Regions from separate parts of the Mus musculus genome. Here all the other regions are reported to be linked to region 5. The links are microRNA targets in miRTarBase. Many come from high-throughput screens and were not tested one by one. Region 5 holds a microRNA gene; each other region holds the end of a gene's coding sequence.
Evidence for each region. The annotated mature microRNA mmu-miR-344e-3p reads GAUAUAACCAAAGCCUGACUAU and lies in region 5 at 1,094-1,115, shown strand. An mRNA with a match to its seed (bases 2 to 7 or 8) in the 3' UTR can be bound and repressed. Matches are read on the target gene's strand: a 7mer-m8 pairs with bases 2 to 8, a 7mer-A1 pairs with bases 2 to 7 and ends in A, and an 8mer does both.

Region 1: the mRNA of Rassf5 is a reported target of mmu-miR-344e-3p. Seed matches in the 3' UTR shown: 7mer-A1 at 1,031-1,037.
Region 2: miRTarBase lists Pou4f2 as a target of mmu-miR-344e-3p. Seed matches in the 3' UTR shown: 7mer-A1 at 944-950.
Region 3: miRTarBase lists Tmem161b as a target of mmu-miR-344e-3p. Seed matches in the 3' UTR shown: 7mer-A1 at 1,329-1,335.
Region 4: miRTarBase lists Cd69 as a target of mmu-miR-344e-3p. Seed matches in the 3' UTR shown: 7mer-A1 at 1,163-1,169.
Region 6: the mRNA of Usp6nl is a reported target of mmu-miR-344e-3p. Seed matches in the 3' UTR shown: 7mer-A1 at 2,122-2,128.
Region 7: the mRNA of Crp is a reported target of mmu-miR-344e-3p. Seed matches in the 3' UTR shown: 7mer-A1 at 743-749.

The regions. Positions count from the first base shown.
Region 1 is chr1:131,175,664-131,178,761 of GRCm38, forward strand. Rassf5 (Ras association (RalGDS/AF-6) domain family member 5) reads right to left here. Exons shown (of 6, transcript NM_018750.4): 6 at 747-3,014. The coding sequence ends at 2,862. It also overlaps a transcript of Eif2d not described here. Among named protein-coding and RNA genes, the nearest start is that of Eif2d, 24 kb to the left of the region's middle.
Region 2 is chr8:78,432,113-78,435,112 of GRCm38, reverse strand. Pou4f2 (POU domain, class 4, transcription factor 2) reads left to right here. Exons shown (of 2, transcript NM_138944.3): 2 at 1-2,104. The coding sequence ends at 376. Among named protein-coding and RNA genes, the nearest start is that of Pou4f2, 3.0 kb to the left of the region's middle.
Region 3 is chr13:84,294,375-84,297,469 of GRCm38, forward strand. Tmem161b (transmembrane protein 161B) reads left to right here. Exons shown (of 12, transcript NM_175187.5): 12 at 229-1,592. The coding sequence ends at 506. Among named protein-coding and RNA genes, the nearest start is that of Gm41011, 48 kb to the right of the region's middle.
Region 4 is chr6:129,265,473-129,268,570 of GRCm38, reverse strand. It overlaps Cd69 (CD69 antigen), which reads left to right. Exons shown (of 5, transcript NM_001033122.4): 5 at 202-1,247. The coding sequence ends at 310. Among named protein-coding and RNA genes, the nearest start is that of Cd69, 8.3 kb to the left of the region's middle.
Region 5 is chr7:61,733,556-61,736,653 of GRCm38, reverse strand. Mir344e (microRNA 344e) reads left to right here and starts at 1,052; the gene lies at 1,052-1,117. All of the region lies in intron 6 of A230057D06Rik (RIKEN cDNA A230057D06 gene), which reads left to right.
Region 6 is chr2:6,441,241-6,444,332 of GRCm38, forward strand. Usp6nl (USP6 N-terminal like) reads left to right here. Exons shown (of 15, transcript NM_001080548.1): 15 at 1-2,580. The coding sequence ends at 502. Among named protein-coding and RNA genes, the nearest start is that of Gm13388, 5.2 kb to the left of the region's middle.
Region 7 is chr1:172,698,513-172,701,610 of GRCm38, forward strand. Crp (C-reactive protein, pentraxin-related) reads left to right here. Exons shown (of 2, transcript NM_007768.4): 2 at 1-1,454. The coding sequence ends at 515. Among named protein-coding and RNA genes, the nearest start is that of Crp, 2.0 kb to the left of the region's middle.

The DNA of each region.
Region 1 (3,098 bases), not on the chromosome of region 5:
AAACACACACACACACACACACACACACACACACACACACTGTGTATATACACATGGTGCACATTTGCCATAGCATGCATGAAGAGGTCAGCAGAAAACCTGTGGGAGCGAGCTCTCTCCTTTCACTGTATAGTCCCAAGAGATCAAACTCAGATCCACAGGCGTGGCAGTGAGCACCTTTTACCCACTGAGCTCCCTCACCCGCCCTGTGATTGACTAATTTTAAGGATGCCTGGTGAAGAGAGGCAGAACTGAGTAAGTTGGAGAGCCCATGCATGCGTGATACATGAGCAGCACTGGAAGGTAGGTGGTGATTTCCCTAGTTAACTTTATGTGGCTGTTTCTTGAATTTAAAAGATTTCCGTGCTGGAAATCAGCGGGGCCAAAATGCAGGCTGCTTTCGGACCAGTCCAGCCCTCTGCAGTTGAAGTCATCAGTGACCCACACTCACATCATCATTGTAGATAATTCCAAGGACAAGTGCTGCTTACCTCTGTATCTAGAAAGCTGTAAGTCCCCTCCCCGTCCAGCACCGCAGAGATGGAGAAGAGGCAGCCAGAAGCAGTACCCTCTACTGTGTGGACAATTTTCTCAAAAGCGTTTGAATGGTAGCCTTCATTCTCTAGCTTACTGGAGAAGAAAGCTTGGCTCTGTCTAGAAATGTACCTGCAGTTGCCTCAGTCTTCCTCTCTCCAGCCCACTTTCCAGAAGATGTTGACGTTCAGCAAGGACGATTCCATCGTGACTTGTTTTTACAGTAAGCTTTTATTACTCATTAAAAAACATAGAAAGACATTTAGAAAGAAAATATCCTGAAAAGAACACATACAGAGCAATAATACAACCATAGAAGGCACTACCAGCAGTTAGACTCCTCTGAGACGTCAGGAACTCCATGCTTTCCAGAGGCTCAACCCTCAGTACAGGTCCTGGGTCTAACTGTGCTTTAAAGTCTGAATCTTACCATCATTTTCTGAATAAACGCCTTTCTGTATATATAGCTATATGCCTCTATGTGTATATACATATATATATAATACATGAATTTTTTTTTCTTGTCAAAAATAAAAAGCCATCCATGGGGGGACGTTCTCAGCAGCATTCACAGTGTTTGCAGCAGGAGCCATGCCTTCTCCTAACGCTACAGACATGCAGGATGAAGGGAATGACTTTCCACGTGCCCCTGTAGTACACAGCAGGACGGGGGCTTCTTAAGGGAGAGAGGTGTAAGGCTGGGCATGAGACCTCAGGCAGCCAAGGGGCTGATGGCGTGCACAACCTCAGAGTCGCTAGCTCATGTTGCTTTTTGCAGCTCTGCAAACGATGCACAGTTTGAATGACAAGGATTTGGCGTTCTTCTGGGACGGGAGCAGTGTGGCTTCAGCCTGGGCTGGTAGGGAACTTTTTAGGCTACACGGAGAAGCTTGGGCTTAAAACAACCCGAGGAAAGGGTATGGAAAGGCAAGCACAACATGAAAGTGGTCTCCTCTGGAGGCTCAATTGAAACACTGGCCCTCTTTTAAAGGGACAAGTTTTTCTCCATCTGTATTGAGTGTCTTTGCAGTCCTGGCTACTCTGGCTGATTGGTTTTAAGTCTGAACTACTCAAGAGTTGGAGTCATAATCTGATGCTGTCAATGCAGTCTAGTAACCTCGCATCTTCAAAGTCAAAGCCTGACCGGGAAGCTTGATGGGAAAGAGGCTGATCATCAATCACCCTGTGCTCTGAGGCTGTGTCCTTGGCTCTATAGCACCATTGTCCACTTCCTGCCAGGGGCAAGCCAGCAGAGAGCTTCAAGCAAAGTGCCCCACTCTTTTCTCTGCAAACAAAAAGGCACTGAAGTCACCAGGGAAGTCAGGCCCACGGGTCTGCTCAGTGCTGTGCTGCGAGCAGACCATGCTTCCCACCAGAAAGGACTCCAAGTTGGAGGACTTTACCACTGTAATCAAAGCTACTACTCAGGCAACAGCTGGAGACCCTAAAGCCAGAGGTGGAGGTGGAACTGAAGGCCAAGGAGATTCAGGCCCCCCACCCCCTGCAGGCGTAGGCCACAGACAGCTTGGATGTGCTTCTCTGTAATACTTTCTGGCAGCTCAGCAAGAAACTAAAATTGATAAGTGGCTGGTTTCTCTTTGGTAGAAACCCATAAGGAGGACAGCATTAAATTCAAATGTTAACATATCAAACATTGGACAGAGACATGCTGAAATACCACACAGATGTGCATATATGTCTTTGGGTTTGCATGCACACAGCCTGCTGGGTAATAAGAGACGGCCTGGTCAGGCTGTAGCCTCTTGAAATCTCAGGCTGACCCTGAGTGTCTAGTACTAGAGAAGAAGAGGCACCTTGGGGCAAGGACAGTCCTTTCATGAGCATTTTCCTGCTTTCAAGGACTTAGCTAGAATGAATATGCCACATTTGATCCTTAAATATACTATACGTGGCCAAAAAAAACCAACCAAACAAACCAAAAGAGGAACTGAAGAGTAAATCCAGAGAAAGAACACACAGGCTCTGAAACCTTTCTTTCCTTTTGCCGGCTGGTGATTGATTGGAGTTTGGTGACCAGAGAGGCAACTATTTGGTTTCTGAGAGGCCAGCAGACTGAGCAGGGAAACACTGGTCATTCCACAGGAGTTCTGATCCCAGGCGGAAGCTCTCCAGAGCCATGGTGTGGTGGGTTAGCAGGAATCGAACCCTGCATAGACACTGCGTGGAAGAGACTTTGTGCCACATCTGTTAACTGCTGGGCAGGCACTGGTGGAACCACCAGAGGTGTCTTAACAGTAACTCTTTGTTGCAAAATAATTAACAATAAAATAAATTGGAGGGCACTGAGAGGACAGGAAGTCGGCTGGTTACCCCGGCTTCCCTTGGGACTCTCGTAATGCCTCTTCCAGTTTCTGACGGAATTTGTTGTACTTCTTTTGCAGTTGATGGATCTTGTCCTGCTCCTCTTTTTCCAGGATAGTTAAAAAGTTCTGGAGTTCAGGAATGGAAAAGGCATCCCACTATGAGAGGAGGAGGAGAAAACAAGTGAAAATGGTTAGAAGTTGACATGTCTCAGGGCTCTGCTGTTGCTCCACAGTGAGCCA
Region 2 (3,000 bases), not on the chromosome of region 5:
CCTCAAGATCCCGGGCGTGGGCTCGCTCAGCCAGAGCACCATCTGCAGGTTTGAGTCTCTCACGCTGTCACACAACAACATGATCGCGCTCAAGCCCATCCTGCAGGCGTGGCTGGAGGAAGCTGAGAAATCCCACCGCGAGAAGCTCACTAAGCCGGAGCTCTTCAATGGCGCGGAGAAGAAGCGCAAGCGCACGTCCATCGCGGCGCCGGAGAAGCGCTCTCTGGAAGCCTACTTCGCCATCCAGCCAAGGCCCTCCTCGGAGAAGATCGCGGCCATCGCCGAAAAGCTGGATCTCAAGAAAAATGTGGTGCGCGTCTGGTTCTGCAACCAGAGGCAGAAACAGAAGAGAATGAAATACTCTGCCGGCATTTAGGGACCCTTCTCCAGGGATGGCCCTTTCCCTTCGCCCTCTTTTTTTCTAACCCCCTTCTTGTCTCTTCTGCCTCTTTCCTTTCTACTTTGGCTATCAGAAAACAATTCCGGTAAATGTGAACCCAGACCAAGCCAGGAGCAAAGAAGCAAGCAGCTGAGCCCAAATCAGAGAGATTGTGAACCGGTTTCGCAGTGAAGAAAAACCAAAACCACAAACAACACAACACGAAAAGGAATTTGTCAAGTTGTAGCAGAGCTGTCCCCTTTAACTGCACCTGGGCTGCTCGGCTTCATCAGAGAAAGCGAGGAGCTGACTGTCAACAGGAAGGTAGAGGGACAAGCTTTTGAAAACCCTGCAAGAATGAGCAAGTAAGATTTGTTTTTGTTCTTACAGACGTCACCTTGTTCATGTTTAAAAGTACACTTTGCAGCTATTTTTCAGAAATAGAAATTGATTCAGGACTGAAACTCGAAGCTAGAGTTGATGCTTAATGTGATATGATAGAGACATCTCTAAAGTATTTTGAATTAAAAAAAGATGGCAGATTTTCTGCATTTACACTGTATATTATATATATATTTTTACTGTGGTTCTTATCGCTTTCTTCCTTCTCTGAAGTGTTAACACTTATGGAAGGAGTTGCGCCTGCTGTGTTCACTGATCTTGACAGCTATTATTAGATTATTGCCGTACAACCCTCTGTAAATTATTAATTTATCTCTCTGGCAACTTAATTTTGTGCACATCCTAATTAATTAAACTTCTTTAGTCTGAAAAATAAAACCGGCGGATACGTATAGCTAGTGATGCTCAAAACATTTTTCTTTTTTTCTTTTTGGTCCTGGATTTTTACAGCTTCCCACTTAGACTGTGTTCGCTTTGGCCTAGTTGTATATTCTCACTTTGAATGAAGATTGTTTCTTCCCTTTGTTTTTGACTGGTAGTGATCTAATTTGTGAGCTGACACTTTATAATTGATGTCTTAACCGTGTAGACCAGATTCACTGTCCGAAGTCTTGTTTACTTCCTTACATATTTAATGGGGATTCCCATATTGTCCCCGCGGCACACGTGCTCTCTCACTCACCTTACATGCCTACACACAAACACACATACACATCTCTAACAGAAGAGAAGAAGCAGCTGGAGGTACCAACGATGAGCAGTGTATACTTTCCCAGCCTTAGGTGCAGTCTCCACTTGGTGCTTACTCTGCTGGATTCTAAGATTTCACCAAGGTATTTCCATCTCCCAGTTTTCGATTGCTTTGTTGCTACATTTTGACCTTTATAGGGGTCCTTCATTTTTTCCTTTTAGGAGGTTTGTTTGTAGGGGGAAAAATTTGGAACTATAAGAAAGACAGTGCACTGCTTGTAAATTCACAGTGTTTGGTAGAATCCTTTTGGAGCACACACACAAATAGGTACAAAGTGACTGGTACCTTATCTATTGTAAATATTTCATTCAAAATGATGCACATATGAATATATTCTTACAGAATTTGCTGTAATTGCTGATCCATTTGAGGCTCTCCAAAGTTCTGAGTTCTGTATATGACCTCGTTTCTTGTTTTTGTTAATGGGTTATTTACTATAGTAATGTATTAAGTTATTTTGAGTGTTGTTTCATTGTCTTTCATTGAAGAGATGATTTTAATGTTTTACTGGCAAAGTATGCTGCTTTTTTCATTAAAATATGCTATTAATATTAAATGACTTTTAAAACGTGATGCAGTTTTTAATCATTTATGTGGGAATTATTTTGGTGCTGATTCTTTTAAAAGACAGGAACACAGAGAGTGGCCGCTATTAAAACACGGCTTGGACTTTGTAAGAGGCAACTCCCTGGGAAAGGATAAAAGAACAAGAGGATTTATAATATCACGTTAATGGCCAGGGCTCATCTCACAGGGCGCTTTGCTTTTTAGCTTAGATGAAATCATGGTGTCTGGCTCCATATAGCTCCTCTGGAGTCCTTTCTCCAGACTTGAAATAATTCTGTAAAGAGAATCTTACAAAGCCAAGGTCAGATGGAAACTATTTCAGCCACTCCTTCCCATCTCCTATGGGGCAAAGGAAGAAAGGGACCCAGCCCACATTTCAGTAGCTGTGGGAGTCTGGGTGTGGCAACTGTGGGGGCAGGACTTGGTGAGCCAGGAGCAGAGTGCAGCCCCCATCTTCTCAGTTCTTTAGCCTGTCCTGGAAATCAACCTGGGGTTCTGGCAGATGAATAAAGTCTCTGTCTTGGTGTCCCTCTGTCTCTGTCTTTTTCTATTCCCCATAACCTTTAAGAAAATTAATATTATTGCAATAGACAGGATGTGGCTGAGGAAAATCCTGGGTTGTTAAAAGGAACAAAATTTTGCCCCTTTTTGTGACTTTGTCTGGCACAGGATCTGGAGGAAGTCTATTAAACATTCATGTGGCCATGGGATTCTGCCCATTTGGCACAGCCACTTCTTTTTCTAATCCGACTTTAAGACAATTCCTCTCCCATTATAATAATTTTCGGGTCCTTCACAATTGTTGGGCAATGTATTGGGCTTTCAACGTTTCTTTTTCTAGTAAGGCTATGATTTGTATTTTTACACCAATCATAGTTCATGGAATTAATTGGCATGAGAC
Region 3 (3,095 bases), not on the chromosome of region 5:
TAATATGGTTCAGTTAATTTTATTACTTTAACAGATAGCAAAATTATTACTTTATTTTCAATGTAAAATTGTTTACCACCAAACTTTTTAATGTGTAATATGGGTGGGGATTTAAGGTTTGCTTTTCTTCTTTTTTTTTGTTTTTTTTTGTTTGTTTGTTTGTTTGTTTTATTTTGTTTGATCCTTAGAATCATCTACTTATCAAATTTTGTGTCTTGAATATCCTAGGTAATCATTCCTGGGGAATTTATCCAGAAGCCGCCTTTCCCTTGCCAGTGGATAATAATCTCCCCGCCAACTCGGCTTACCCTGAACTACCATCACCTGATGGGAAGATGAAGGTAACTGTTACACAAATCACAGTGGCCCTGAGCAGCTTAAAAAACATCTTCACGCCTCTCCTTTTTCGAGGACTTCTGTCATTTTTGACATGGTGGATTGCAGCTTGCCTCTTTTCTACAAGCCTTTTTGGGCTTTTCTATCATCAGTATTTGACAGTGGCATGAATTTCAGTCAAAAACGGATATCCAAGTCACACTTTAAATTCAAATATCTGTGCCCTTGAAGGATTGACAAAAGAAGAATGCAAATAGAACGGAGAAAAAAATTATTGGAGTGTTTTGTTTTGAATGCTTCCTCTGTACTCTCAGGGTGAATTAATGTTGTAATATTTAAAACTCATGAGATAGGTTGTTACACTGTTACACACTGTGGCATTGGAATTGTAACTCATTGAGAGAACTAATGTGAGAGGGCTCTCTGCAGGGGTAATCCTTCTGATTATCTTGGTTTACAGTTGCAAACCTCCAACAGTCTGTTAGACTTCTTCTAGGACTCCAGTTACTGACTGCTTTTCATGGTGTTGTGGTACTGTTACTACTCATAGTTGCTGCCTACAGAACAATCTTCAAACTGAGCCATGCTCGAGGGAAGGGAAAGGAACGAAAATTACTTCTGTTGGTAATGTATTAGTCTTAAAAAAAAATCCAACAGAAAGGAAGAGAAAGCTACTGTATATTACAGTAAGAAAAGCTGCATAGTCATTTTAAATTGAATGGAGATATAAATTACCTATTGTCTACAAGTACTGTTACTTGAGAGTAGCAGGAATATTCTTTTAAAGTGAATGCCACCCAGCTTGAAAGTTCTTTTTAAATGATTGGCCATATGAACATCAGCGGTCTCACTGTTAGTTTTGGGCCTTGCTGTATTTTATTTTTTCTTTGATTTTAAATAGTTATGTTTAATCTAAAAATATTTATCAATACTGATCAAATTTGAGAATTACTTTGCAATCCTGCTGACTACGTGTATGTATTGTGTATATATTATATATTAAATATATAATATATTGAGGTTATAAAAGATGAAAATATTGAATCCTTATAATATTTTAAGTTTCAGAACGTACGTTAAACAATGATTTGAATGAGATGTATTTGTATCTGGAAATTTCTGTTTGGAATGAGATTAAAATACATTTTTTTAAAGCTCAACAGAGTGTAATTTATTTGTTGTACATATATGATAATAGTACTTAAAATGTCATGAAGATTAGTTGATTTCTCACAAATTAAATTTCATTTTCTGTTTTTGGTTTTTGCCTTTTATTAAACATAAATTCTTATGTCATACGATATATCTAAATCCAGGTTCCTATCCCTCTAACTCCTCTTTCTGCTCACCTCCTCTCACACCCAGATCCACTCCCTTTCTGACTCTCATTAGAAAAGAACAGGCTTCTAAGAGATAACAACAAAACATAACAAAATAAAATACAATAAGAGAAAACAAAAACCATCATAGCATGGTTGTACAGGCCAAGCCAACAGAAAAATAAGATGCCAATAATAGGCATACGAGTTAGAGAACCACTCTGCATTTATTCAGCAGTCCCTCTCCATAAAGTGTTAAACTGAAAACTAGAGTATATATATAGGGGACCTGGTCCAGACCCATAGGCCATGCTGCTTTAGTCTCTGAACTCATAAGAGCTTTGCTCAGATGTCTGAGAGGGCCGTGTTCTGGTGTCCATTGTCTCTTTTGTCTCCCAGACACCTTCTGCCTCTTCTGCAGAGTTTCCTGAGCTCTGTGGAGAGGGATTTAATGGAGACAAATCCAGTACAGCTGTGTGTTCCAAGGTGTGTACAGTCTTATCTGTGTGTCTCTCTCTTTCTTCCCCACTTCATAATATCTGCTGGTGAGTCTCTATGTGTTCCCATCTGCTATAAGAGGAAGTGTCTCTGTTGTTGGCTGAGTAAGGTACTGATCTATGAGTATTAGGAGTCATTTTATTGTAACTTTCAACTGCCCTGCTTTCCATTCCTGCCCTCAAATGCCCTTCAGTTCTAGCTGTCTCCCCTCATTCCCTCTTTCAATCCTGTCTCCTTTCAAACTTCCCACCTCCTTTCCCTAGTCTGTCCACTCCTGACCACCCCCCCCCATTCCAATTTCATTCCAGTCATAAAATTTACTCTATATTCCCACTCCAGGAAAATCCATGTGCCCCCTCAGCGGTCCTTTTCTCTATACCAAAACCTCTCAGGTCTACATGTTGTAGCTTATTTATTACTTAAAAGCTAATAACTACATATAAGTAAATGCATACCATATTTATTTTTATGGGTCTTGGTTTACTCACTCAGGATGGTTTTTTTTTGTATCCATTTGCCTGCAAGTTGCATGATTTCATTTTTTAAATAGCCGAATAATACCCTATTCTGTATCTTCTGTTGAGGTACACCTACGTTGTTTCTAATTTCTAATTTCTGAAGTAGAGTAGCAGTGACCAAGGTTGAGCAAGTTACCTTGTGGTGTGATAAAGCATCGACCAAGGGTAGCATAGGCTGGATCTTGAGTTAGAGAATTCCTAACTTTCTGAGCAATCACCATACTGATGTCCATAGTGGCTACAGAAGTTTGCACACCTACCAACAATGGAAGAGTGTTCCCCTTGCTCCACATCCTCACTGGCATGTGCTGTCACGTGTGTTCTTGGTGTTAGCCATTCTGCCAGGTGAAAGATGGAATCTCAAAGTAGTTTTGCTTTGCATTTCTCTGATGGTTAAGGATGTTGGATATTTCTTGAAGTGCTT
Region 4 (3,098 bases), not on the chromosome of region 5:
TCTCTACCAATAATCCCCTCCCAGTGTTTTCTGTTGCCTCTACACATTAAACCACGGCTACTTGGCTGGATGTCTTGTGTTTTGTGCTTCCTACTCAGGGAGCAAACAGAAAAGGCAGAGGCCCCTGCAAAGTTGACTGTCGTGTAACTGGCTAGAAATGATGGGCTGGAAATAAATCTGAGTGTCTCTATGGCTTGACAGGTTCAACTTGACGGGGTCTGGGAGGTGCGTGTCCGTGAACCACAAAAATGTTACCGCTGTGGACTGTGAGGCAAACTTCCACTGGGTCTGCAGCAAGCCCTCCAGATGACGAGGATACATAGATGTATAAATGACTGTGCCATAGCACCACAGGAAAGTTGTGTAACTGGATACTGCTCTGCAGTTGAATTTTCCACAAAGACTGCACAAACCAACTTTACATCATCCTGGATCAACTCCAGATAGAACTGTGGGACATGAGGAAGAAGATCCAGGAAGATCCCTTGACCAGGAGCTGAAACTGTCACCAACTGACTGCTAATCACATCAAGGATGAGAGGATGGCTATGAAGCCTCATCAACGCACTTTATTTTTTTTTAAACCTAGAATGAATAGAACTGACTAGCTCTAGAGTTACTATTTATTGCCGAATGACTGCTACAGCCAGTGCCTTTACGCATTTGCACTATTTGGAGGGGTTTCAGTGGTAGGAAGAGCTGAATGTAGGTACAGGAAGATTTGACTGATTAATGATTTTCTTAAATTCAAAAAGCATTCACAAATAGAACAATGCTTATGAAACCAAGCTTTGCAGTAACTCCATCTATTTACAGAAACTTTGCCTCATTATTTTGTCAATTGTTCTCCCCCAAAGAATAAGAGTGGCCTTTTCTTTAACTTCCTCCGTGTAGACAGCTAATTTTCAATGGTACATATTTCTTAACCTTTAAAAACCTCTGTAGCGTATTTCAAGGAAGAAAACAAAAGCACAGCATATGAGTAATATTTGTAGAGCAGATTTCAAAGTGCTGGAAAGAAAAGTGCAATACGTGTAGTGGCAGATCTCTGTCAGGACACACCCTGTGGTTTGACCTTGGAATAACTCCAGTCTTGTCACATAACCTGTTTGTGTCTTTCCCAGTCCTTTGTCCAAAATATTTCCCATGTGCAATAAAGTGTTTATATATTTGTTTGTGTTTTAAAACCCACTATAAAGTTTAAGCTGTTTCTATGTATGTGAAAATAAAAGAATAGATAAATGGTTTCCAGCGGTTCTCATTCAAACTGCATTCAAAGTACCGTGTTATAGCATCAAACTGCCTTCCAGGAAGGGGGGTCTCAAAACCTTTAGATTAGTGAAGTTCACAAACCTCACCAGAGAAGAGTCTTTGTGCAGTGGCCAGTGGTCAATGCAAGGTCTCCAAACTAGTCAGAGCATGGAGAATTGGAGGCTGTGAAGTGCACAGCCACAAAATAAGAACTCTCCCCAAAAAGGTGCAGGAAATATCATGGAAGCCAGGGCAGCAAAACTGTAAGATCCAGAGGTCAGGGAGGACTGGGTAAGAAACATCTTCTGGGCTTGAGAGAACCATTGCACTCATGAATTTATAGCCACAAGACCTGCACAGAATCAAGCCAGGCAACATCCCCACAGGATGGAAGAAGAGCAAGGGCATCCTCACTCCTACCTGAGAAGCTATTGACAGTCAATAGCTACTAGGAGAGAAGCAGACAGTTCTTATTCCCAAGTATGTCCCCAGTAATTGACTGTGCTCCAGTGAATGACCCCATATCCATGCATTATGAACAGCATTAATTGGTGAATTAATTGTGAATTAGCAGCATTAATTGGACTCAATGGGATTTATAAAAAGAAAAGGACATGAAGTTTGGAGGAGTTGGAGGACAAGGTGGTGGTGAATATGATTGGAACACTTTGCATACATGTATGAAATTCTCAAAGAATAGCAGCAAGTTATACCATATTGGAAAACAGAGAACAGTAGAACGCCTACTAAAAGTCTTCCACAATGCAAAACCCTAGTCTTATTAACACACATTCATGCCAAAAGGATACACTCATTTTTGCATATATCAGATGCTCTGAATCTCAACATATCCAAGGTTCTGAAAACATTTTGTTCAACTCTGTTCTGAAAACATCTTTCTCACTATATACTTTATTCACACACACTAATTCATGTAGTATATGTGGGTCATGGATGCCTTCAAGGGCTACTCCATCAGGGAAAATCTTTGATCACTCCCAGAATGAATGCTGCAATAACATCCTTTTGTGATGCCTGAATACAAGTGTTTTATATATATATAGTGCTCACCCTTATGATATATAGAAAAGAAACATGGATTTAGAGTTTCTTCTTAATGAAAAATAACATGAAGTTTACTGGCCACTGAGAGTCTCAGTTCCATAGCTACAGAATGAAGCAGGTGGCCTCCTCACTTAAATATTCTATCATTAATAACCACAGCCCCGTCCTGACTCATGTTGAAAAACAGACTTGTGATCTGCATGGTGTGGATGTGTAAGTGGAAACACTGCTGTTGAGAGCCACAGGATGAGAGACAGCTGACCCGAGTCTTACTTCTGCCATCCAGTGGATCATGAGTTAACCTTTAGATTTAATTAGAGATTGAGTTGAAACTAATAAGAAACGTATGCAAAATGACCTTAAAACACCACCAAAAGCTCAGAGTAGTCATGTGATATATCAGCTATTGATAATTTTACATGTGAAACACTATGTCCACAAATTTTTTGTATTGTATAAAGTATTACTTATTCAAAGCATGCCTACTTCTACATAGCATACATAGGTTACATGTAGTAGCATACATTTAGTAGTAGAATTAAAATATCCAGCCACTACCTGATACAAGTGTGTAGAGTTTATATCCACATGTGAAACAGGCAATAAAATAAATTGTTATGTAATGGATGTGACAGAAAATATGTATGTTGCTATCAAAACCCTTTTGAAGTACAGAACTCTTTTTTTCTTTCTTTTTTTTTTAACTATGGTCAAACTTTTGGATAATTTCACAATAAATCTTATAAGCTACACTCACCTTAAGTGACTGCAATAATATAAGC
Region 5 (3,098 bases):
TCTGCAACCCTATAGCAAGAAGAACAATATCAATTATTTAGACTCACTCTCCCAGAAGTCCCAGGGACAAAACCATCAAAAAGAGTTCAAAAAGAGGGACCTAGGTCTCCATGCTCATAGGTAGCAGAGGAAAGCATTGCCAGGCATCAATCACTGGAGAGGCCCTTAGTCCTGAGAAAGCTTTATGACCCATTCTAGGAGAATACCAGGGCAGGGTGCCAGTATTTTGTGTGTAATTGGGTAAAGTAACATACTTATATAAGATTTCCCAGGGGGTTCCTGTGGAGGACTCTGGTAAAGGGTGTAACATCTGAAATGTAAATATAAAATATCCAAAAAAATGGAAAACAATACCACACTTCAAATATTTTCCATCCACCATATTTGATGTGAATAATATAGCACACAAACATTGTTTACAACACTGAGTTGCATTTATTATATTTCAGATTTATGGACCACTGCAGCTTTTCATTGAAACTGAGTAATCATGGACTAGGGAATGGGCAGAATATTAACCTTGGTATTAAAACAATTCTTTCTAGATGCAAGAATAAATAATATTTTTTCAAGTAAAGAGTATATACAGAGCATACAATTGTTAAATTGGAAAAGGAGACAAAGGCACAATACAATTGCCCAGTAGGCAGCAAAAATGTCAAGAAATACGGTGAGTGGGCTCAAAAGCTAACAGAGCATCCCTGTAAAATAGCTTAAAGATAATCAATAAGGCAGAAATAGGACCACCCCAAAGTGTTCAGTGAGGTATTTTTCTGTAGGTCAGTGAAGAGAAGAGAGGGTAAAACAGTTTTTTTCTGCACTTCACTTTCAATTATTCTCATTTCTTCTGGGAAGGCAGGGAGGAGTGTATGAGTTATGAATCACCAGCACTGATGTAGATATCCAAGGTTACTGCAGGCTCTGCTGTCCATGCCTAGATATGAGATCTCTCTTCTGATTGGATCTCATTCCATTCTCTATTTGAATGCACATTCTCCATCAATCAGAAGCCAGGAGACCAAATAAATTGGTCTGCAGGGAAGGATTTGATCAGTCAGGCTTCTGGCTATATTCCAGGACTTACCTGGTCCTGGATATAACCAAAGCCTGACTATATGGTGCTAAAGACAAGGAAGAGTGCTTCTGTAACTGACAAGAGATGGAGCCAGTGGACAGCTCCAAGCAAACTGCTTTTTTTTGTTTCAGAGCCTCCATTCTCTGATTCTTTGGCTCCTAGTTCCTGTACAGGGAATGCCTCCACATGTGAAATTCAGGCATCTGCTGTCCATTTCTTGCCTCGGTCATGCAGGGCTGTGCCTTCTGTAATGAAGATACAACATTCAATCTTCAGCTTGTGACACAGACTACAGAACAATTTTGGCATTTTCATGTTTTTAGATCAGCCACTGTGAGTACCACGATGGCAGCAGAGGTGCTCAACATACCAGATTTGAGTATAAGAAAAATTAGATGTGATTAACAGGCAGAGAAACTACCATACCCACAATCCAAGCAGTGTTATGACAGTGATGCTGGTAGCATGTTACCATTAATAGCCAAAGGCATTCAACATTGCAACCATTGTTTATGGTGATACTTTTGTTGTTGTTTACTAGATTTTCTAAATGCTTTTCTCTCAGGTTGTCCTAAGATTTCATGATATTTTCATTCTATTTTTTTTTTTGAAATCAGGTCTCTGTCATAAAATCTGTATAATTTTGAACTGTTTTATTTTATTAATACATTCCTGAAGGTAGAAATAAATTTACAGCTCTATATGCATCAGAAAATGCCATGACCTCTTTAAAACCAAACATTAAGGAACTGAATGGGATTTGCAACCCTATAGGAAGAACAACATTATCAACTATACATAGCCCCCATAGAGGTCCCAGGAATTAAACCACCAACCAAAGAGTACACAAGGAGAGAACCATGTCTCCAGCCTCATAAGTAGCAGAAGAATTCTGAGTCAGGCTTCAATCAGAGTAGAGGGGCTTGTCTCTCATAAGGCTAAATGCCCCAATGTAGGTGAAAGCCAGGGTGGGGTAGTGGGATTGTGTGTGTGGAGAACATCCTCATAGCACCAGTGGGAGGGGAGATTGGACAGGTTTCTCTGGGAGGGAATTGTGGAATGGGCATACAATTTTAAATTTAAATAAGAAAATATCCAGTATAGAAATATAGAAAACAATCCACACATTAAATATTCCACATATACCATATTTTGATGTGAATATTCATACCATGTAAGCATTGTTTCAACACTCAGTAGCATTTATTATTTTTCAGATTTATGGAAAACTGCAGCTTTTAATACCACCCGAATACAGGTAGAGCTAGGCATGAGCTGAATATTAAACTAAATAGACAAACACCTCTTTGTGGATACATATTATATTTTCAAGGAAAGTTCATACACAGAGCATGTAACAGATAAATTGGATAAGTTGAAAAATGCACATCACAATTGTTCAGCAGGCAGCAAAATACAGAAGATTAATGTTACAATAAGTGGGCTAAAAAAGAAACAGCACATTTCTGGCTAATAGCTTAAAGCTAGGCAGAAGGAGCCAGAAATAGGACCATCCCCCAAGATTCTACTGACTTCTTTTTCTGTAAGTCAGTGCAGAGAAAAGAAGGTAAAGCAGGTTTTTTTTTCTGCCCTTCACTTTCAATTTATCAATTTCCTTCTGGGAAACTAGGGTGGAGGGGGTTGAGGTATCAATAAGCAGTACTGATGGAGATCTCCAAGGTAACTGCAGGCTTTGATGTCAATGCCTAAATATGAGCTCTATCTCCTGATTGGATCCTATTCCATTCTCCATCAATCAGAAGCAAGGAGAGCAAATAAATATGTCCACTGGGAAGGATTTGATCAGTCAGGCTTCTGGCTATATTTCAGGACTCATCTGGTCCTGGGTATAATCAAAGCCCGACTGTATGGTAGTAAAGACAAGGAAGAGTGTTTCAGTAACTGACTGGAGATGGAGCCAGTAGACAGCTCCAAGCAAAGTGCTAGTTTGTTTCAGAGCCACCATGCTCTGATTCGTTGGCTTTTAGTTCCTATACAGGGACAGTCTCCACATGTGAAATTC
Region 6 (3,092 bases), not on the chromosome of region 5:
TAACCCTTCCAGGAGACCTTACGGTTCCTCTCTTTCAGTTGACACTTCTCCAGAGAAAGCCTACAGCCGCCCAACTCCTGTTGTTCTGCCCTCTAGTCGAATTGAAGTCCTTCCCATTGACATGGGTGCCAGGGGCTACGGCAGTTCGGGGTCACCAAAGAATGGACAGTTCATCCTTCCTCCGGTGGACTATTTGCCAGAGAACAGAAAATGGTCAGAAGTTAGTTACACATACAGACCGGAGATGCATGGCCAATCATGGACTCGGGATGCTCACCGTAGCCACTTAAGCAATTTACCAAACTATGCAGCCTTTCAGCACATACCGTTTCAGGCCCATGGCCTTCCAGAAGTGTCTGTAGACAGTCCAGTGAGGTATAAGATGTCTGCAGCTGTGGAAGATGCCAGTCCTCCTGGGTATCCATATGCAGGGCCCTCACCTTCCGCACATCACTACAGAAATGGAGAGGGACTTTCTGTGCAGGAATCAGTGTTGCTGTGAGCGTGTGGCTGTATTCACTGACAAGAGAATAGAAACAATATGCCCACATTGCTATGTTTATAATTGCCAGAGCAGTATTTTTTATATTGTAAACAGCGTGCGCAGCTCAGTGTGTGTCAGTGATAAGAGTGTGGGAAGGCTTCATCCTCTGCAGAGGCTGCTGAAGAAGAGTGGGTCAGCTGCATCCTGGCTGAACCTTTAATAGGGGACCCTGGGGACCCAGCAGTAGCACGAGGGCTGCACACACAGGGCGGCTCTCTGTGCTGGTCCCTTCGTAGCTCCCCAGACCCGCTCTGTTCCGTTGCTGTTAGAACAGTAGACTACTGACCGCTATAGAGCAGATACTCTGAGGGCCGACCCTCGCCTTTTCATAGACAGACGAGGCAACTGCATATAGGTTTTGTCTTTAAAACCACCTTTAATCTAGATACATAGACTAACAGTGGATTTTTTTTAACCCTTTATCTTTCTGCCCACCCTGCCCAAACATATTTTAACCCAGGTTCTAAACTGAAACTGACTAGAGATGAATCCAGCGCCTGACAGAATGTCATTCTCCTTCAGTTGCTGCCATTTTATCTCCTCCTGAAAGCTAAAGGCTCACCACTTGATGGTGCCTAAAGTGGGTCGGTTACCCGAGTGAGCGGCTGCACAGTGCTCACTGAGTCCCCTCATCTCCAGCAGTCTTGGTGCTGCTGTGCCCCGGGCTCTGGTCTGGCCGGGTGTGAGGGAAGTCAGACCTTGCAGGGCCCCAGGCCGCAGAAGATTGCATTTCACAGTCGTGGGGAAGCAGCTCTAACCATAAGGAAGGCTGCTTCTCACCCTGCTTCCCCTTCTCACAGGCTTTCTCTGGCACTCGGTCTTCACAGAGCACAGTGGGTGGATACTGCTAACACTTACTGGGCCCCGGTCGAAATTGTGAAAAATACCCTAATGATTAATAAGGAATTTTAATCTAGAATTTTGATCTTTGTAAAAAAAGGGGAAAAAGGGTAGTTTGTTTCATACTTTTGGAATTTTTTTTCAGTGAAAAATAACTGAAGTTCATGGTTTTTAAAAAAGGTGATGATTCCTTTTATGCTATCACACACTACTGTCACCGAGACACTGACAAAGTGCTGGGTTCTCCAAGAGCGATGGCGGCGTCTGTGTAGGTGCTCGCCCACCGTTACCCTCTTCTTGTATCTGAATATCAGAAACTAGAAAGTCCAACAGTGACACTCCCCCTGCTCCAAGGTGGGGACTTAAGTTTGTGAGGTACAAGAATATGTTTTCATGAAAGTAACATTGTTTATCTAGCAAACGTGACAATATTTTTATGTATATAATGATTCTAATCTAAGTTAATTAATGTGGTAATGATGTTATTAAGTGTGGAAGCAAATGCAGTATATTAAAGGTGAACACCACACTGAAACTCCCAACTCCTGACAGAATAACCAGGCTCTTGATTTAGATCATGTGGAAGGTGAGATATAAATGTATATAGACATGTAGCTGAGGATATTAATTTCAGTCTTAAAGTGTGACTTGTAAGGAGCCAAGCTGTACAGTTTAGTTCATGATGGCAGCTCTCTGCCTCTTCAGAAAGTATATATCATAGTGGTAAATAATGTAGATTATATATATACATATATATATATATATATGCTATATATGGACACACTATTTTCTTATGTCATCTATGGCATTTTTTTATCTGTATACTTTTTGATGTGGTTGATTGTTTTTAACATGCTAAAAGTAATCCGTGTATTTTGTTCTGTGTCTTCTGTGTGCAGCTTCCCCGTGGCAAGTGTGTCCTGGCCTTGCAGGGCCTGGCAGATGCACCACGGGCTCACCAGCAGCGTTTACCCACGCTGTGCTTCTCTGCTTGCATTTCCAGGGAGACCGTGTTTTGAACCGCATCACCTTTCCTTGGCTTAAGCATTCGTTACTAATGGCAGGAAAGTCTTCCCTTCTATAAGATATATATCTCTGTTAGCTTCAAGTAGGAAATTTTAATTTAAAATTATTTTGCCACTATAAAATTTTATTTTAAATTTATTTTTAAATAAAAGAAATGATAAGAGAAATAATATTGACAAAGTGATTCAAAATCTATTTATAGAAAGGCTTGCTGGGGACATTCCAGGCAGATGAGCAGCCATGCCCCATAACGGCGTGCCCACAGTGGCCGGGCCATGGCTTAGGCTTCCCTCATGGTCACTTTGCCCATTACGTCAGAAGTAAGTGTCTGGGTGTGGTAGTATAAGTTTCTTAAGGAATTGTCCTGCTGACCTGTATCTAACTAATGAACTTAAGGGTCTGGGTTTTTTTTTCTTTTGTTTGTTTGTTCATTTTGTTCATTTGTTTGTTTATTTTGTTTTTAATTATCAAGTCTCACCCCAGACCACTTAAATCCTATCTTTGGTAAAACGCAGGTATCAGAGAAGCATATTTCCCTTGTGTCTCTTAATACTGTCATCTTGAAACTCTCTCTAGGAAAAATGCCCAAGTTGTCTTCTGTTTCTATTGTGGGATGTTTAAAAATGGTTTGTTGTTGTTGTTTTGGTTTCTGAAGACAGTATTGCTATATATCCCAGTCTGA
Region 7 (3,098 bases), not on the chromosome of region 5:
GTCTCCATTTCTACACTGCTCTGAGCACAGTGCGCAGCTTCAGTGTCTTCTCTTATGCTACCAAGAAGAACTCTAACGACATTCTCATATTTTGGAATAAGGATAAACAGTATACTTTTGGAGTGGGTGGTGCTGAAGTACGATTCATGGTTTCAGAGATTCCTGAGGCTCCAACACACATCTGTGCCAGCTGGGAGTCTGCTACGGGGATTGTAGAGTTCTGGATTGATGGGAAACCCAAGGTGCGGAAAAGTCTGCACAAGGGCTACACTGTGGGGCCAGATGCAAGCATCATCTTGGGGCAGGAGCAGGACTCGTATGGCGGTGACTTTGATGCAAAGCAGTCTTTGGTGGGAGACATCGGAGATGTGAACATGTGGGACTTTGTGCTATCTCCAGAACAGATCAGCACAGTCTATGTTGGTGGGACACTCAGCCCCAATGTTTTGAACTGGCGGGCACTGAACTATAAAGCACAGGGTGATGTGTTTATTAAGCCGCAGCTGTGGTCCTGACCTACTGTTGTGAGCCCTGAAGCACCTCCTGGGATTACATTCTCTCCCTTGTCTCGGGTTATGAACCTTTTAGCCCCAGCAGATGTTGTAGGTCTGTTCTGTGAATATGGCCTTTCACTTCTCTGCTTTGTGGTCCTCAGCACTAGAGCACGGAATTTAAATGGAAGGCTTCCAGCATAAGCATCCCACTAGGACTCTACCAAAGAGAATCTGACTTACCCATGGTTTTATATATATATATGTAAATATCCATATATATATATATAATTGAAAAAATTTCAGACATAATTCTTCTCCCTCACATAGATGAAAAAATAGATGCACAGAAAGGAGAATAATTTTTTATTGTTTTTGTTTTATAATGTCATCTTGAGTGCTGTATTTACATACTTTCTATCCCTCCCTCTTCAGATCCTTTCCTATCCTTCCAAATTCTCTCTCAAATTCATGATGTCTTATTATTAGCCTTATGCATATATACATATGCATAATACCTATCATCTATCAATCAATCAATCAATCAATCAATCTATCTATCTATCTATCTATCTATCTATCTATCTATCTATCTATCTATCTACCTATCTATCATCTATTCATCAGTCATCCATCTTACTGATTACATTTAGTGCTTCTTGTATTTTGTTGAAGACTGGACACTGGATAATCTATCAGGAGGGCCCCTCCCTGAAGACTGATTGTCCTTTTCTCAGCAGCCACTGATTACCTCTAGCTCTTCATATAGGGTTCTGTCTTTGTGAAATTTCTTCTGTCCATGTTGCATGTCAATTGGTGTCATTATGCAGGTCTTGTTTGGGCAACCTAGAGTGATGGAGCACTGACTACACTGTGCTCAGAATCAGTTCTTTTCTGGAATAAAATCTGTACCTGAACTTCCCCAGTCCATGAGTCAATAAAGTCACCTTTGGCTTGAATGAATTTGAGCAGTTTTATGAATAACTTCATTATTGACCCTCTGAAATCAAGACTCTAAATTCAGGTTGACTGTCACTGTCATGCAGAATCATATCCAAGCCATACTACCTCCTGCTGCTGGAGTCTTTTGTGATGAGTCTCTCTGAGGTGAATAGCTCTACTTTGGAGATAGCTGGTCATTCATGGGGTTCAGGTGTGGGGTTCTGATACTCTCCCTTTTAGATTTCCAGTTTGAGAACAAACATCTAAAGACTTCTGAGATTCATGAATCTGTAGTCAAGTCCAGTGATGGAGTACATTTGCTTCAGTCTGTTTGGCTGCTTTATAGAAACAGACCCCTCAACACTGCTGACTTTTCCTGGAGGCATCCTTTATCATGGTCTTTCCAGACTGGGTCAACAATGAATTCATTTCATAAGGCCTTATTCAGGTTGGAGAAGGGACTTATTCAATCATTGTTTTAGGGAAGGCATAGGATAGAATGGTTAAATTTAGAGGTTCTAGAATCAGGTCCATGTCCTGGTTTTATATCATACAATTATGTGACTTCTTTGAACTCAGTTTTCTTACCTATAAGTCAAGAGAAATGATTTAATTAATTTAAAGGTCATTGTAAGAGCCAGCTCTGATTACACAAACAGTAAGCTTGTATAAGAGCCACCCTCTGTTATTACTAGTTGGCTTTGTACTACATGCCTAAATATTATACACCATGAAAATAGTGCTGTTGGAGTTTTGTCTAGGTTGAAAGCATGTGTGTTTCTGATTTGCTAAAAATTCAGTTCAGACCATTAGGAGGATGAACAGAGTGTCTTTAAAGAAATTATTTATGAATATCGATTTCCCTAATTGACCTTTGATAACCATTTAGAAGCACAAGAGTTAGGGAAATACATTCTTAGGCAAAAATGTGAGTGCAGATAATTCTCCATTGTCCAATTAGGGCAGATCCATACACCCTGACACTCAGCTAAGTGGGAGAGAGGGTTGATGCTCTTTTCTAGTTAACGAATCTAACCAGGAGATATGTCTTAATTATAGAAGGCCGTCCCAACTCCTTAGGGATGTGGGATGAGCTAATATGTTCTTCAGAATTCAATTATGGCTACCTTGCTACACACAGTCTAGCAGAGAGCCTCTGGCCCCGATGATTTTATCCAGGGAAATTTTAACAGGCAGTATTTACATTCAGTGTGGATTAAAAAATCTTAATAAATATTTCTATAGTGCTTAAATTGAAGCAATTTGCCTTTTTGGCAGATACTTTGATATAATCTTAGAAAATATATTCCTAGGTACCTGGTGAATTGTCATGATATATGAAGTTGTTAGATGTAATTTAATAAAATGATATCTGTTGAGGATGATTTTGATTTGGGAATGTTGGTGCTGTTATTTTAATTTTTTTATAAGTGGATAATACCAACCTTCCATGCTGGTCACTCTAGGTGATATTGGCAATGCTGTGTCATTGCACTGGGATTTCCAGGGATCATGCATCAAGCTTATCCAGGAGCATTAAAGTGCAAGTTAAAAAGACAGAGAGCCCTGCTCTACATAAATCTGAATATCAAAAGTAGGCAATGGTTAGGGAGATGGCTTAGTTGGTAAAGCACTTGTCTTGCAAGCCTGAGAACCTGAGTTCAG